Linked DNA regions of Drosophila melanogaster. The protein of the gene in region 1 interacts with the protein of each later gene in a pairwise test. Each region holds a gene or a part of one and is shown on either strand. Other genes may lie near its edges. The genes, in order: Su(var)2-10 and Uba2.

Evidence for each region.
Region 2: the proteins of Su(var)2-10 (region 1) and Uba2 interact in a two-hybrid assay, tested with the Drosophila melanogaster proteins (one study listed by BioGRID).

Annotation. Positions count from the first base shown.
Region 1 is NT_033778.4:9,114,569-9,121,609, forward strand, and holds Su(var)2-10 (suppressor of variegation 2-10), read left to right. Parts: upstream 1-1,553; 5' UTR 1,554-1,754; coding exon 1,755-1,883; intron 1,884-2,049; exon of another isoform or gene 2,050-2,588; coding exon of another isoform or gene 2,589-2,609; coding exon 2,610-3,284; intron 3,285-3,348; coding exon 3,349-3,589; intron 3,590-3,646; coding exon 3,647-3,881; intron 3,882-3,937; coding exon 3,938-4,104; intron 4,105-4,170; coding exon 4,171-4,259; intron 4,260-4,319; coding exon of another isoform or gene 4,320-4,331; coding exon 4,332-4,479; coding exon of another isoform or gene 4,480-4,505; exon of another isoform or gene 4,506-5,184; coding exon of another isoform or gene 5,185-5,263; exon of another isoform or gene 5,264-5,342; coding exon of another isoform or gene 5,343-5,385; exon of another isoform or gene 5,386-5,537; intron 5,538-5,731; coding exon 5,732-5,970; 3' UTR 5,971-6,209; coding exon of another isoform or gene 6,210-6,238; 3' UTR 6,239-6,248; downstream 6,249-7,041. Other genes in the region: Phax (phosphorylated adaptor for RNA export), read left to right, coding at 1-615, 671-762, 816-1,092, 1,151-1,365.
Region 2 is NT_037436.4:8,124,622-8,129,702, forward strand, and holds Uba2 (Ubiquitin-like activating enzyme 2), read right to left. Parts: upstream 3,198-5,081; 5' UTR 3,084-3,197; coding exon 2,940-3,083; intron 2,886-2,939; coding exon 2,731-2,885; intron 2,678-2,730; coding exon 2,390-2,677; intron 2,334-2,389; coding exon 818-2,333; 3' UTR 706-817; downstream 1-705. Other genes in the region: mRpL36 (mitochondrial ribosomal protein L36), read right to left, coding at 31-417; Cds (CDP-diacylglycerol synthase), read left to right, coding at 3,638-3,748, 4,463-4,587, 4,831-4,927, 4,993-5,081.

The DNA.
Region 1 (7,041 bases):
CACAAAGCAACAGCGACTCCTCGACTGCCGAATCCTCCGAGGACGGGTGCATCAAGAAGCTTCGTACGGAATCCACCGGACCCGACGGCCACAAGAAGCGGAAAAAGCGCATTCGGCGCACGGTAATGCGGCGCGTTCCGCCCACGGATGCTGAAATGCAACCGAATCGAGCCCGTTTCAAGAAGTACAACGTGTGGGCTTCTGCCCTGCAAGAGGATGCGCTCAGCGAGAATATGCGTGGCTGCGACGTTACCCGAAGCGGTCGGGATCGAAATGTTGAAAACTACGACTTCTCATTGCGATACCGGCTGAACGGCGAGAACACTCTAAAGCGACGACTCTCAAACTCTTCGGAGGACGGCGGCGAATGCTCCCATCCAGCTCACAAGAGGGGAAGACCTTCTAGTCGGCCCATCACCGGGAATCAACAGCGCGGTTTGGTCAAGAGTAGAACGGGTCACCGGTCACGTCGTGGGACATCTTCGGCCAGCGGATCTTCCGATTTCTGCGAGCCCAGACACATTCTGGACTTAAACGAAGTGGGTGAGAGAGATCCTTCGGATGTGGCTACCGAAATGGCCAGCAAACTGTACGAGGAAAAGGACGAATTACTTGGTGAGTATGTGAAATAAATAATGCCCTACTTAGTAAATAATGCCAGTTTTACCAGTTCGAGTCGTGGAGGTTCTTGGCATAGATGTGTGCCTAGAGCTATACAAGGAAACTCAGCGCATTGAAGCCGATGGCGGCATGATGATCAAAGTAAGTAGTAAAGGATGTTCCCCCGAATATACTAACACGATACCTCGAAACAGAACGGCATACGGAGACGTACACCAGGCGGGGTATTCCTGTTCCTAATAAAGCACCACGATAACATCACTCAGGAGCAGCAGAAGCGCATTTTTAGTGAGGATCGCCAGAGTCTGAGCAAGTCTCGAAAGCAGATCGAAACGTTGATGCGGGACCGTAAGGTGGAAGAGTTGAAGAAGTGCCTCAGCAAGCAGGTTACGGAACTGCCGACGTTAAATCAGCGCAAAGAGTACTACATGCAGGGCGACGAGCAAAGTGAAGATAAGCAACCGGGCAGCTGTAAGAAGATCCCATTATTATTGTTAAATCTCCTATGTGACTATTTTGACTATTTCAGTGTCCAACCCGCCACCCTCCCCTGTTGGCGCTGAGCAGGAGCACGACAGCCCTGAGTACAGGACCCACGAGATCAATATAAATCTTGTGGACAATGCGGAACTTCCCTCCACATCCAAAGCAGCGGCGGCGGCTCAGGGAGCGCCGCTGAAGGATTTAATCAGCTACGACCACGACTTTCTGGACGTCAATTGCGGGGACATGGACTTTTTCTAGGCCCACGCCAAGCGGCGGGCCCCTTTTATACTATTCTTGCATAGATAGACCCATATTTGTACAATTAAATAAATGCCTAGCGAATTAGGAATCTACGAAAGTAACGGTTGCTAACAAAGTAAACAAACGCACGCGTTAGGGCATTTTCGGGCTGCGTGAGACAAGACTCGGCCAGGCGGTAGAGATTTCCGCAGTGTCGATCGATAGTGTCAACTCTAGTCGGCCCACAGCGACGACGCCGCGTAAAATATTTTTGTTTCTCCGCATTCGTTGAAAAACAGCGGCAATTGCTTGTTTTTATGTGTGGTGCGCGTCCCAGGCAAATGCAAACGAGTCCGCGACTTCAATTGCCGAACGCCTAACGCCACCGTGAATAGAAAATAATAGTGATGCGAAAGACCCGCTCTCAGACGGCTCGCACGCAGGCGGAAAATGCCGCAACATCTTCGAGCCCCGGGCACCAGTCGACTTCGTCAGCGCCAATAGCAGTTAATCCCTTTGATTCCACCAAGTACAAGGTATGTTTCCGCCAGTCTCAGTTTATTCAGTCCAAAGAATTTTTCATAAATATGGGGGCCATGGTTATTGATAAGCAGTGTGACCGCAGAAAAAAATGGTGTCTGTACCCTTCCCCACCCACGAACAGAGTGATTTGCCAGCCAAATCCGCCGGCGCTTAACAACACTATCATCCGCCATATTTCTTCAGACCGTGCGGACAAAACAAAATTCGTGTGACAAAAAAGGGGGCATTTTTGCGGTAGTTTGTTTAAGTGCAATTTGCGAAAGAAGGAAGGCTGCCAGTGGCGAACACAAGCCTTACCAAATTTTCTGCATATACCAACGTTAAAAGCCACTGAAACCCGATCGGTTCCACGAAAAGAAACTTTTTGCGAGAACGCCATGTTTGAGCATCTAGGTAATGATTTGGTGGCATGCGGCAGTTTCGGACCAGTAAATTATCCACAGATGGGAAAAATGTGGAAGCCAGGCTTTTGTCCGACTGTCAAGCAATCACTTGGCATATAATGTAGAGCGAATTTATGATTTTTTCTGCATAAAGCCGCACAAGGCATACGCATGTGTACATATGTGCGAAAACGCGATATTTGCATATAGAGCGCGCTTGTGTGTGTGTTCGTGTGGACGCTTGGTGCTAAGTCCCGCTATTTGGACATAGACACCTTCCCAATTTTCCGAAATACAAAATTTTCATTGTTCGCCATGCCATTTCCGTCTCTTCAGGAATGTGAGCAAATGGTGCAGATGCTTCGAGTGGTCGAGCTGCAAAAAATCCTGTCGTTTCTGAACATCTCATTCGCTGGACGAAAAACTGACCTGCAGAGCCGCATCCTCTCGTTCTTGCGCACCAACTTGGAACTGCTTGCCCCGAAGGTCCAGGAAGTCTACGCCCAGTCCGTGCAGGAACAAAACGCCACGCTGCAGTACATCGACCCAACCAGGATGTACTCGCACATCCAGCTGCCGCCCACCGTGCAGCCCAATCCCGTGGGCCTCGTGGGCAGCGGCCAAGGTGTGCAAGTGCCCGGCGGCCAGATGAATGTGGTCGGCGGCGCACCCTTCCTCCACACACACAGCATCAACAGCCAGCTGCCTATTCACCCCGATGTGCGGCTGAAAAAGCTAGCCTTCTACGATGTACTCGGAACGCTAATTAAGCCTTCAACTCTGGTGCCACGCAACACTCAGCGCGTCCAAGAGGTGCCTTTCTACTTCACGCTCACGCCGCAGCAGGCCACCGAGATTGCCTCTAATCGCGACATTCGCAACAGCTCCAAGGTGGAGCACGCCATTCAGGTTCAACTGCGCTTTTGCCTGGTGGAGACTTCGTGCGACCAGGAGGACTGCTTCCCGCCGAACGTAAACGTCAAAGTGAACAACAAACTCTGTCAGCTGCCTGTAAGTATTATCCGATTATCCAATCAGGACCTGGTATAATATCCTGCTCTTTATTCCAATGCAGAATGTCATTCCTACAAACCGACCAAATGTGGAGCCCAAGCGTCCGCCGCGACCCGTTAATGTCACGTCCAATGTAAAGCTGTCGCCTACCGTCACCAACACCATAACGGTTCAGTGGTGTCCGGACTACACTCGTAGCTACTGTCTGGCCGTATACCTGGTAAAGAAGCTCACCTCAACACAGCTTTTGCAGCGAATGAAGACGAAGGGCGTAAAACCAGCGGACTACACGCGAGGCTTAAGTGAGTTTTCTGTGCTCCAATGATGCAAACTTAATAATAAATACCATTTTTTTAAAGTCAAAGAGAAGCTGACTGAGGATGCTGACTGCGAAATAGCCACCACTATGCTGAAGGTTTCCCTTAACTGCCCGTTGGGCAAGATGAAAATGTTGCTGCCTTGTCGAGCATCAACCTGCTCGCATCTGCAATGCTTCGATGCCAGTCTCTACCTGCAAATGAATGAGCGTAAGCCCACGTGGAACTGCCCTGTATGCGACAAGCCGGCCATTTATGACAACCTGGTCATAGATGGGTAAGAAATGTCATTTCATTTAGCATATTTGTAACTGATTAAACTCTGTTTTCCAGCTACTTCCAGGAGGTGTTGGGCTCGTCGCTTCTAAAGAGTGATGATACTGAGATTCAACTTCATCAGGATGGATCTTGGAGCACACCAGGACTACGGAGCGAGACGCAGATCCTTGATACGCCTTCAAAGCCCGCCCAAAAGGTTGAGGTTATATCGGATGACATAGGTAATCGCCTAACACGCAACCTTTTAAATTGTTTTGACATTAATCAAGTTTTTCGGACATTACCAGAACTTATCTCGGATGACGCCAAGCCAGTAAAGAGGGATTTGTCCCCAGCACAGGACGAACAGCCCACATCAACGTCAAACAGTGAAACTGTAAGTAGAGAGCACCAATCTACAACCTACCAAACTGTCTTATCATATGACTGTATTCTGTCTGCGCAACAGGTTGACCTAACGTTAAGCGATTCAGACGACGACATGCCGCTGGCTAAGCGTCGTCCGCCCGCCAAGCAAGCCGTCGCCAGTTCCACGTCGAACGGCAGCGGTGGCGGCCAACGTGCCTATACCCCGGCACAGCAGCCCCAGCAATCCGGTACGTTGGATCCCTTTTTGCAATAAGCCAGTAACGAGAATTATATCTCTGTATAGCCAAGAAATCTTTATGTTTACAAATTGCTAATTGTAGACCCTAGGGTAAAGTAGTTATAAGAATCCATACACATCCCATTTACATACATCCACACTGACTCAACCACGCTTCGGCACCAATAATTTAGACAAAGGAATGAAATCCTAACAAGATCAAGCATTTAGGTTTCGGTTCACCTTTTACGGCACACCTCTAGGACATCATTTAACGTAAAAGTATTTTTTTGGTGCATCAATTGTCTTAAATAATATTAGAAAATTTTAACTGCAAAAGTTCGAAAGAGTATTCACATTGTCCAAAATGAAAATTACATATATGTTACATATGATTCTGACTTCATCATCACTTATTGTTATTCAAATATAATTAGGTCCCCGATTCCGCTTATGACTTTAGTGCATCATTTGATTTTAGTATGAGTACACCCAGTTAAAATTAACCCAATTTTACGTGTAGTATGTACAAACATATGTTTATGTTTCAAAAAAGTGACCAGAAGGGCTATTTATCATGATAATTTTGTGTTAGATCTACGGAGTCCAGCATCGAAAAGGTTTCCGTAGATTTCGTAAAATCCCCTAGCCAAAACTTGTATAGACTAAGTAGGCTATAAATTGACTCTATCCGCTTTCGTTGCTTGTATTGTAGGTGGTAATGTTTTTAAAAAACCTCAGAAAGCGGAGGAGCTTTACAAGCGTGTTCATTTAGGAGTTTGGCTGCGCCCACGGTATGTTTTCCGTCGATCGATTGTGAAATGGTTCGGGTTTGGAACAAGAATCCCATACTTAATCAGAACATTCTTACAGAAAACCCAAGCCAGAGAGCTCAAGGCGCCCAAACGTCGGCTAAGCAAAGTTAATAGAGTATTTTTCGGTTTTATACCACCATTTGTCCTAATTCATTTTCAATGTATTTTCTGTTGTCACCGAATCTAAATTATTTCACGATATGTACTCTTATTTTAAGTGATAATTTTAATAAATCATGCCAGTTTGTTAGTGAAGGTTTTTGTTGAGAGCCTCTTTTCCGATTGTTGTTGTGTTAACCTAAACCCAAGGTTATATGATGATAATAACTAAACTAATTCAAGTAACTTGTGCATTTCTTTGTCTTTTTTCTTTCTCTCTCTCTCTTTCTCTTCTTCCCCTGATCTTTTTGTGTGACCCGTCCATGCTGCCGCCGATGCAACTCGTAGAATCCCCAGAACAGCAGGCCAGCCGCCAATCGCCAGAGAAGCAGACAGTCTCAGAGCAGCAACTGCAGCAGCAACAGCACGAGCAGCCAGCGACGGCAGCCGTCCATGCCTCCCTCCTGGAATCCCTGGCTGCTGCGGTCGCGGATCAAAAGCACTTCCAACTGTTGGATCTGGCTGCGGTTGCGGCTGCTGCAGCTGCCACGGCGTCCTCCGGCCAGAGCCAGAATGCCGGCCCGTAGGCAGGACCCACATCCCACACACATTAATCGCACATCTCGCGGCTCGCGGTCTCTTACTGTTATGGTCCCTATATTGGCCCGTCCAGTTTCTGTTTTCGGTTTCACTTCCGGTGGCGCACGGCCACATATTACCTTAGAGGCTATTCTTCGGCGTTCGATTCGCCGCCTTGCATCACCTCATTATTCATACTCTATCAATCGCGAGCCACCAACTGATGCTTGTAATTCTTGTGTTGCAGGACGCAGGCATAACAGACAGGTTTTGTAGGAGAGGGTCCCCTGTTCCCGAATGAATCCATGTGCTCCCCCATCGGCCAGATTGTTGCTGCCCCTTTTTTCAGTTGGCTCACACCAAAACACTTTGCTTACGTCCCGTGTCTTTTATTCGTGTCGTCTCGAGTAGTTAGTTGTGTTACGCTTTGCCAGCGCTCTCAGCAACACACGCCACACCACACAGCAACTGAAATATTCCTAGATATTGCAAATACACAAACTAGCACCAGCATTAATTAGCAATTACTATAGGAAACGCAATTAATTTATTTTCCATTGAAGCGGTCAGCGCAATGAACACTATGAGGAAAGCGAAATGAAAGGATGCATGCCAGGCGGCGGCCAGTCGCGGCACCAAAATTTAAAGTAGTTAAGTTATTTTAGTTAAACTACGGATTCTGTACGGATTGGAGGCGGTGCTGTGTGCAGTTGGAGGGTGTTGCAGTCCTCGCATTTAAGTTACGTTGCAAGACAGGGCGGAATGGCATATGGCATTAAAGGTCCATAGTATTGAAAGCAATCGAAGCCGTTTTTATCAATGCAAATCGATTGGAAACGACGGATTATGTATGTTATGTATGTCGTCCAGCTAGACGCTCAGTTTATATGACCTCCCTGGCCTTTGTTGGCGTATTTAAGCTCAAACCGTACCACCACGGATTTATATGTTAAGATTTAAAATTGAACAATGCTTTGACTATGACATGATGCAAACCCCCTAAATATCTGAACGAACAAATATGAAATCAATGTACAAGGAGATGTGTACTTTAACTATACGATTAAACAATTTTCAAC
Region 2 (5,081 bases), on another chromosome or scaffold:
AGAAATGCTTTTATTAATGCCTAATTAGGTCTAATAGCCGCGCTCCTTGGATTGGGTGGCGTGCGTCAGGATCCACGACTTGTAGTCGCGCTTCTTCATCGACATCTGCTTGTGGCGTGGATGCGTGGGGCAGATGACATAACCGCGCTCCTGGCGCACCACGATGTAGCAGTCCTTGCAGCGTCGCTTCAGGCGTCCCTTGACCTTGAATCCCGCCACCTGCTGGACCAAAGTGGAGCCAGGCGTCAGCAGACCCGACGTCTGACAGATTCCAGTTGTGGCGGCCACAAGTTGCGAGCTTTGAATTGATACAATTGCAGGAGCCGCCGGCCGGGTGAGAAGGTGGAAACCACGCGCGGCACTGAGACCATTCCACAAGCGGGAACCTTGTTGCAGTATTCTACTAGCCAGGGACATCTGAAATTTGCATTTTCATTGAGATTTACAATGAAAATTTGTAGAACAGCTCACCTTTTTCTGTTTTGGATTGAACTGGTCAGAAACCGATAACAGGCACAATGACTTCCAGTGCTTCGCAGCACTGGTTGGCGTTAAAAAGTTATCGAATTAAAAATTTGACTAATTTTAAATGTTATTTTATATTTCTTTTATTTAATAAAATTACATTTCTCGCACTGGATTATTTGAATTTAATCGAGTAGAGCAAAACCAAACCCGTTCAAAGCACAAAAATTTAAAAATTTTATCATCCACAAAAATGTGTTTTTATTTTAAATCAGAATGAAATTACAGGGAATCAAGAGCATAATTTAGTGCGCAGTTGAGAACTTATTCGAATAAAAACTTCTTTTTTTTATTAATCGATACTGATGACTGCCACGGGGTTCGAATCGTCCAGGCGGGAACGTTTGCACTTGGTTGGTCCCGCGGGTTCGTCGTCAGACGACTCCAAAATCTCGGTGATATCCTCATCCTCGATTACTTCACATGGCTTGCGCTTGGAGCCCGATTTTGGGGGACTCTGCACAGAGAGCTTGTCTGTGGCCACGACAACAACATCTGCTTGGTCTTCGTCTTCCTCGATTACCAGACAGTCATCGTCATCTTCCTCAACCACTTCGTTGGGCCGGCTGCGCTTCGAAGTGGAGGGTCCATCGTCCTTTGAGTCTCCTTCCCCGTTGGTAGAACGCTTCTTAGCCGATTTCGGTTCATCCTCCTTGTCTTTCACGGCCTCCTTCTGATCCTCATCCTTTGGCTTCAGCTGTGAGGCATCTGCTACGACTTCGAACAAGTTTTCATCGCGCTCCGCATCGAAGTGGGAAATGATAATACTCAACTCGTAGTTCTGGAAGAAGTCGTCGCACTTGAGGATCACACCATCCACAATGTTTAATTCGCTTAGGAGCTTGCCGTCATTGCATTCGGTCTCGCCCTCCTCTGAGGAGATTAAAATGGAGCCATTGCTCTGCACAGTCACATCCGGATTCAACATGTTGAGCGTCTTAACCAGGACCTCGTCACGCAGCTCCTTTATACGCATGCGCTTCGTATCGATCTTGAGAGTAATGGCCGGATCGCTGGCGCATACATGGCAATTGGGATTGGGGCCAGGAAGAGAAGCGTCCGGTACAAGGAAGTGATTTCGTGCATTTGGTCTAAGTCGGGCATAGACGGCCTTGCACTGCTCCCACTTGGCCTCCAGCACTTTGAAAGCCCGCATCACGGAAATTCCCGCCGTAATCGCATTTGTGGTGGCAATAGCAGGAATAATGTTTCCCGCCATTGACTTAATCTCGAACCTTGACTTTCGCTCAATGTCGAAAATGTGGGATCGCACGTTGGCGCAGGCCGCCACGAAATCCATGGCTGGCTGGTCGTCCTTGTCCCAAGCCAGAGTATCGTCGCCTTCGAGTTTCAGGAAGTTAGCGCTCAACTCTTTTAATGAATTGGCAAAGACCTGAGCGCACTCCTCGATGGACCACACCTTGTGATGCTGCTTGGCCACATCCTTCTGATCACCGGAGGATCCTTCGGGCAGCAGGGTATCCCACTGCACGGGCACGGGTGCCTTGCGGGTCTTCCACAAATTCGACATACGCAACAAATAGGTAATGTCCTCGTTAAAGAACTTGTTGAACAGCTTGCCCGCATCATAGTTGCAGTCCTTGGCCCATTGGCGAGTATTAATGCGCATTATGTTGCCGTTGGCAGTATCCTCCTTGGCCTCCTTTTCCTCTTTTGACTCTTCGCCTTTTTCCTTCCCATCGCCTTTGGGCTCGCCATTTCCATCGCCGCCGTCTTTTTCTTTTGCATCGGGATCAGCAGCATCAGGAGAAATATCCTCATCTTCCAAGGACTCACCAAACAGTTGACTGCAAATAAATCAATAGATTTGCTGCAATTTAGACTAATTATTAGGTATACTCACTTAAAGAGATGCTTGGCCCAGACAATGCAGTGAATCGGTTCGGAGGGCGTATTGCGTATGGTGCAGCCCGGGAAGCTTCGCTGTTTGTCTTTTGGAGTGCACTCGTAGCACTGGGTGAGTCCACGCTTGATCAGTTCCACCTGGCCATTGTAGCCGGCGGTGCCGCTCTCGATCAGCGGGACATCCGCATTGAGGCACATGCGATTTACATGATTCCTGGCGGCCCTGTTGTCCAAGGCGCTGAGCACCAAATCGAACTTCTTAAAGAAGTTGACGCCATAATCAGTACTAAAAGGTATGTGTTGTTAGCAAGATGTAAAGGCAAAGCTATCCCAACTTACGATGTTACACTGTCGTGGTAAGCGGTTATCTTAGCGTCCGGATTGAAGCTCAGTGCGCTTTCCCTAGCCACCCGTGCCTTAGATTTTCCAACGTGCTCGCGATGGAATAGGAACTGTCGGTTCAAGTTGCTAAGATCAATTGTGTCCAGATCGATCTGGGTAACGTTTATAAATTAATAATATGGAATACTTTTTTCGAAAAAACTTACAATTTCGATGTCTGTAAAGCCGCTAAGCACAAGGTTTTTGAGCACCTCGCAGCCGATTCCGCCGGCGCCCACGACCAGCACCTTGGACTTCTTTACCAGCTCCTGCAATGTGGGTGGGAAAACACCATTGATAGCTGCTGCCATTTTCTGAATTTACGTTTTCCTTTTTCTTATTTTTGGCGAGAAAATTGCAAAATTGCGATACGGAAAAGCCGAGAAAAGTGACGCCGCCGGTGCAGGTGTTGGGAAACGTATAAAGCTACGGATATTCTCTACCAGGGATGGCTGATATGGGTGACTCTTATTATCACTTAAATTAACTTTTCTAGTATTATTAATATATTTTATTTTACATATTACGACAAAAGTCACCGTTAATTGCACAGAAAAAGAAAGTTCTTTTAAAAGACATCAAACATTTTCTGTCCGAAAAGTCAACTTGTAAAACCTAACAGCAATTGAGCATACTTGCCAACACTTTTGCTCCACCAGCCCACTTTGCGCAAGCTGGGCACACTGCATGCTGGGCTAATCAGAAATAGAGAAAAGCATTTTAATTCGGACGAAGTCGACATACGGATCACGCAGCACGGGTCACGGCAAACGGCAAACGCGGAGAGCGGAACACGGACGAGAACTGCTCAAGCGGAATCAATAGGAATCAATACATTGTGAATAGATCTGGCGAACATCGAATAATGGCCGAAGTGCGACGCAGGAAGGGCGAGGATGAGCCACTGGAGGACACGGCCATCTCCGGATCTGACGCAGCCAATAAGCGCAACTCCGCCGCCGACTCCTCGGACCATGTAAGTAGCAATGACTTGTATGTGGAGCAGCCGAGCGGCAGCTGTTCCGGACACCAATTTGCATAATTCTTGGAGCATAGAAAAGCCAATGTGTGTATACCAACAAATGTGTGTGGCTATGTGTTTTTGTTATTCTCTGACGCACAAGCAGGTGGGAGAAAGAAGAGAGAGCTCTCTCCTGGAGAAAATCCAATAACAAACACAAAACACACCACTAGCCAGCCAGCCTGCCTGCCACCCAACCACCCACCTGCTGTGTTGCAATATAGCGCCATTATGACCAGCAAATCCAATTAGATGGACTACGCCAATTAGGGAAGCACTGGGCCAAGAACCCAGAGCCGAAACCATTACCATGACCAGACTCCCTTTCTGGCTTGGACTTTTTTTGTTATTGCTGGGTGATAATGCCTCCTTATCAACCAAGCTATTTGGCAACAAAACACGCCACCCAAAAAAACCCGCAATTTTTCTCCCCACTTGGTTCCCCTCTCTATTTTATGTGCCTGTGTATTGGATAAACGAGTGATTCTGATTATGGGTATATAGGCACATACATACACGTATCATGGACTTTGCTCGGCGTCGTCCAATAGAAAGTATTTAAACCCTGCACTCCGGTCGTATCGAATCTGATAGGAAACCTACTTTGCAGTCCCAGCCAATGCAATCAATAAGTGAATTTTCCCTTTCCCTTGCTCCTCCTCCTGCCAGGTGGACTCCGAGGAAGAGAAGATTCCCGAGGAGAAGTTCGTCGACGAACTGGCCAAGAATCTGCCGCAGGGAACCGACAAAACGCCCGAGATATTGGACTCGGCCCTCAAGGATCTGCCGGATAGGTATGTGAAACAAATCCATATGCGTAGTTGGGATCTTTAAAGATCATGATGAATAGCTAAAGGTCGATTTGGAATTGATGATTCAAAAAATATTTTATTGAAGTGCGAATTTTATAAATCCGACAGAATGAGTATGAGTGCGTTCCAAAAATAATCCATATCCACAGCTGTCTACAGTTGGCGAGCAAATATTAAAAGTAAATATGTACAATTACAAACAATTATTTTTTGCGCATTCCACAGATGGAAGAACTGGGTGATTCGCGGCATCTTCACATGGATTATGATCTGCGGCTTCGCATTGATCATCTATGGTGGACCGCTGGCCTTGATGATCACGGTAGGTTTAATGGAATTCGCTTAAACGAGTCTTCAAATAATCGTTGTCCTACTTTCTCTTTGCAGACGTTACTGGTGCAGGTGAAGTGCTTCCAGGAGATCATCTCGATTGGCTACCAGGTTTATCGAATTCATGGCTTGCCCTGGTTCCGAAG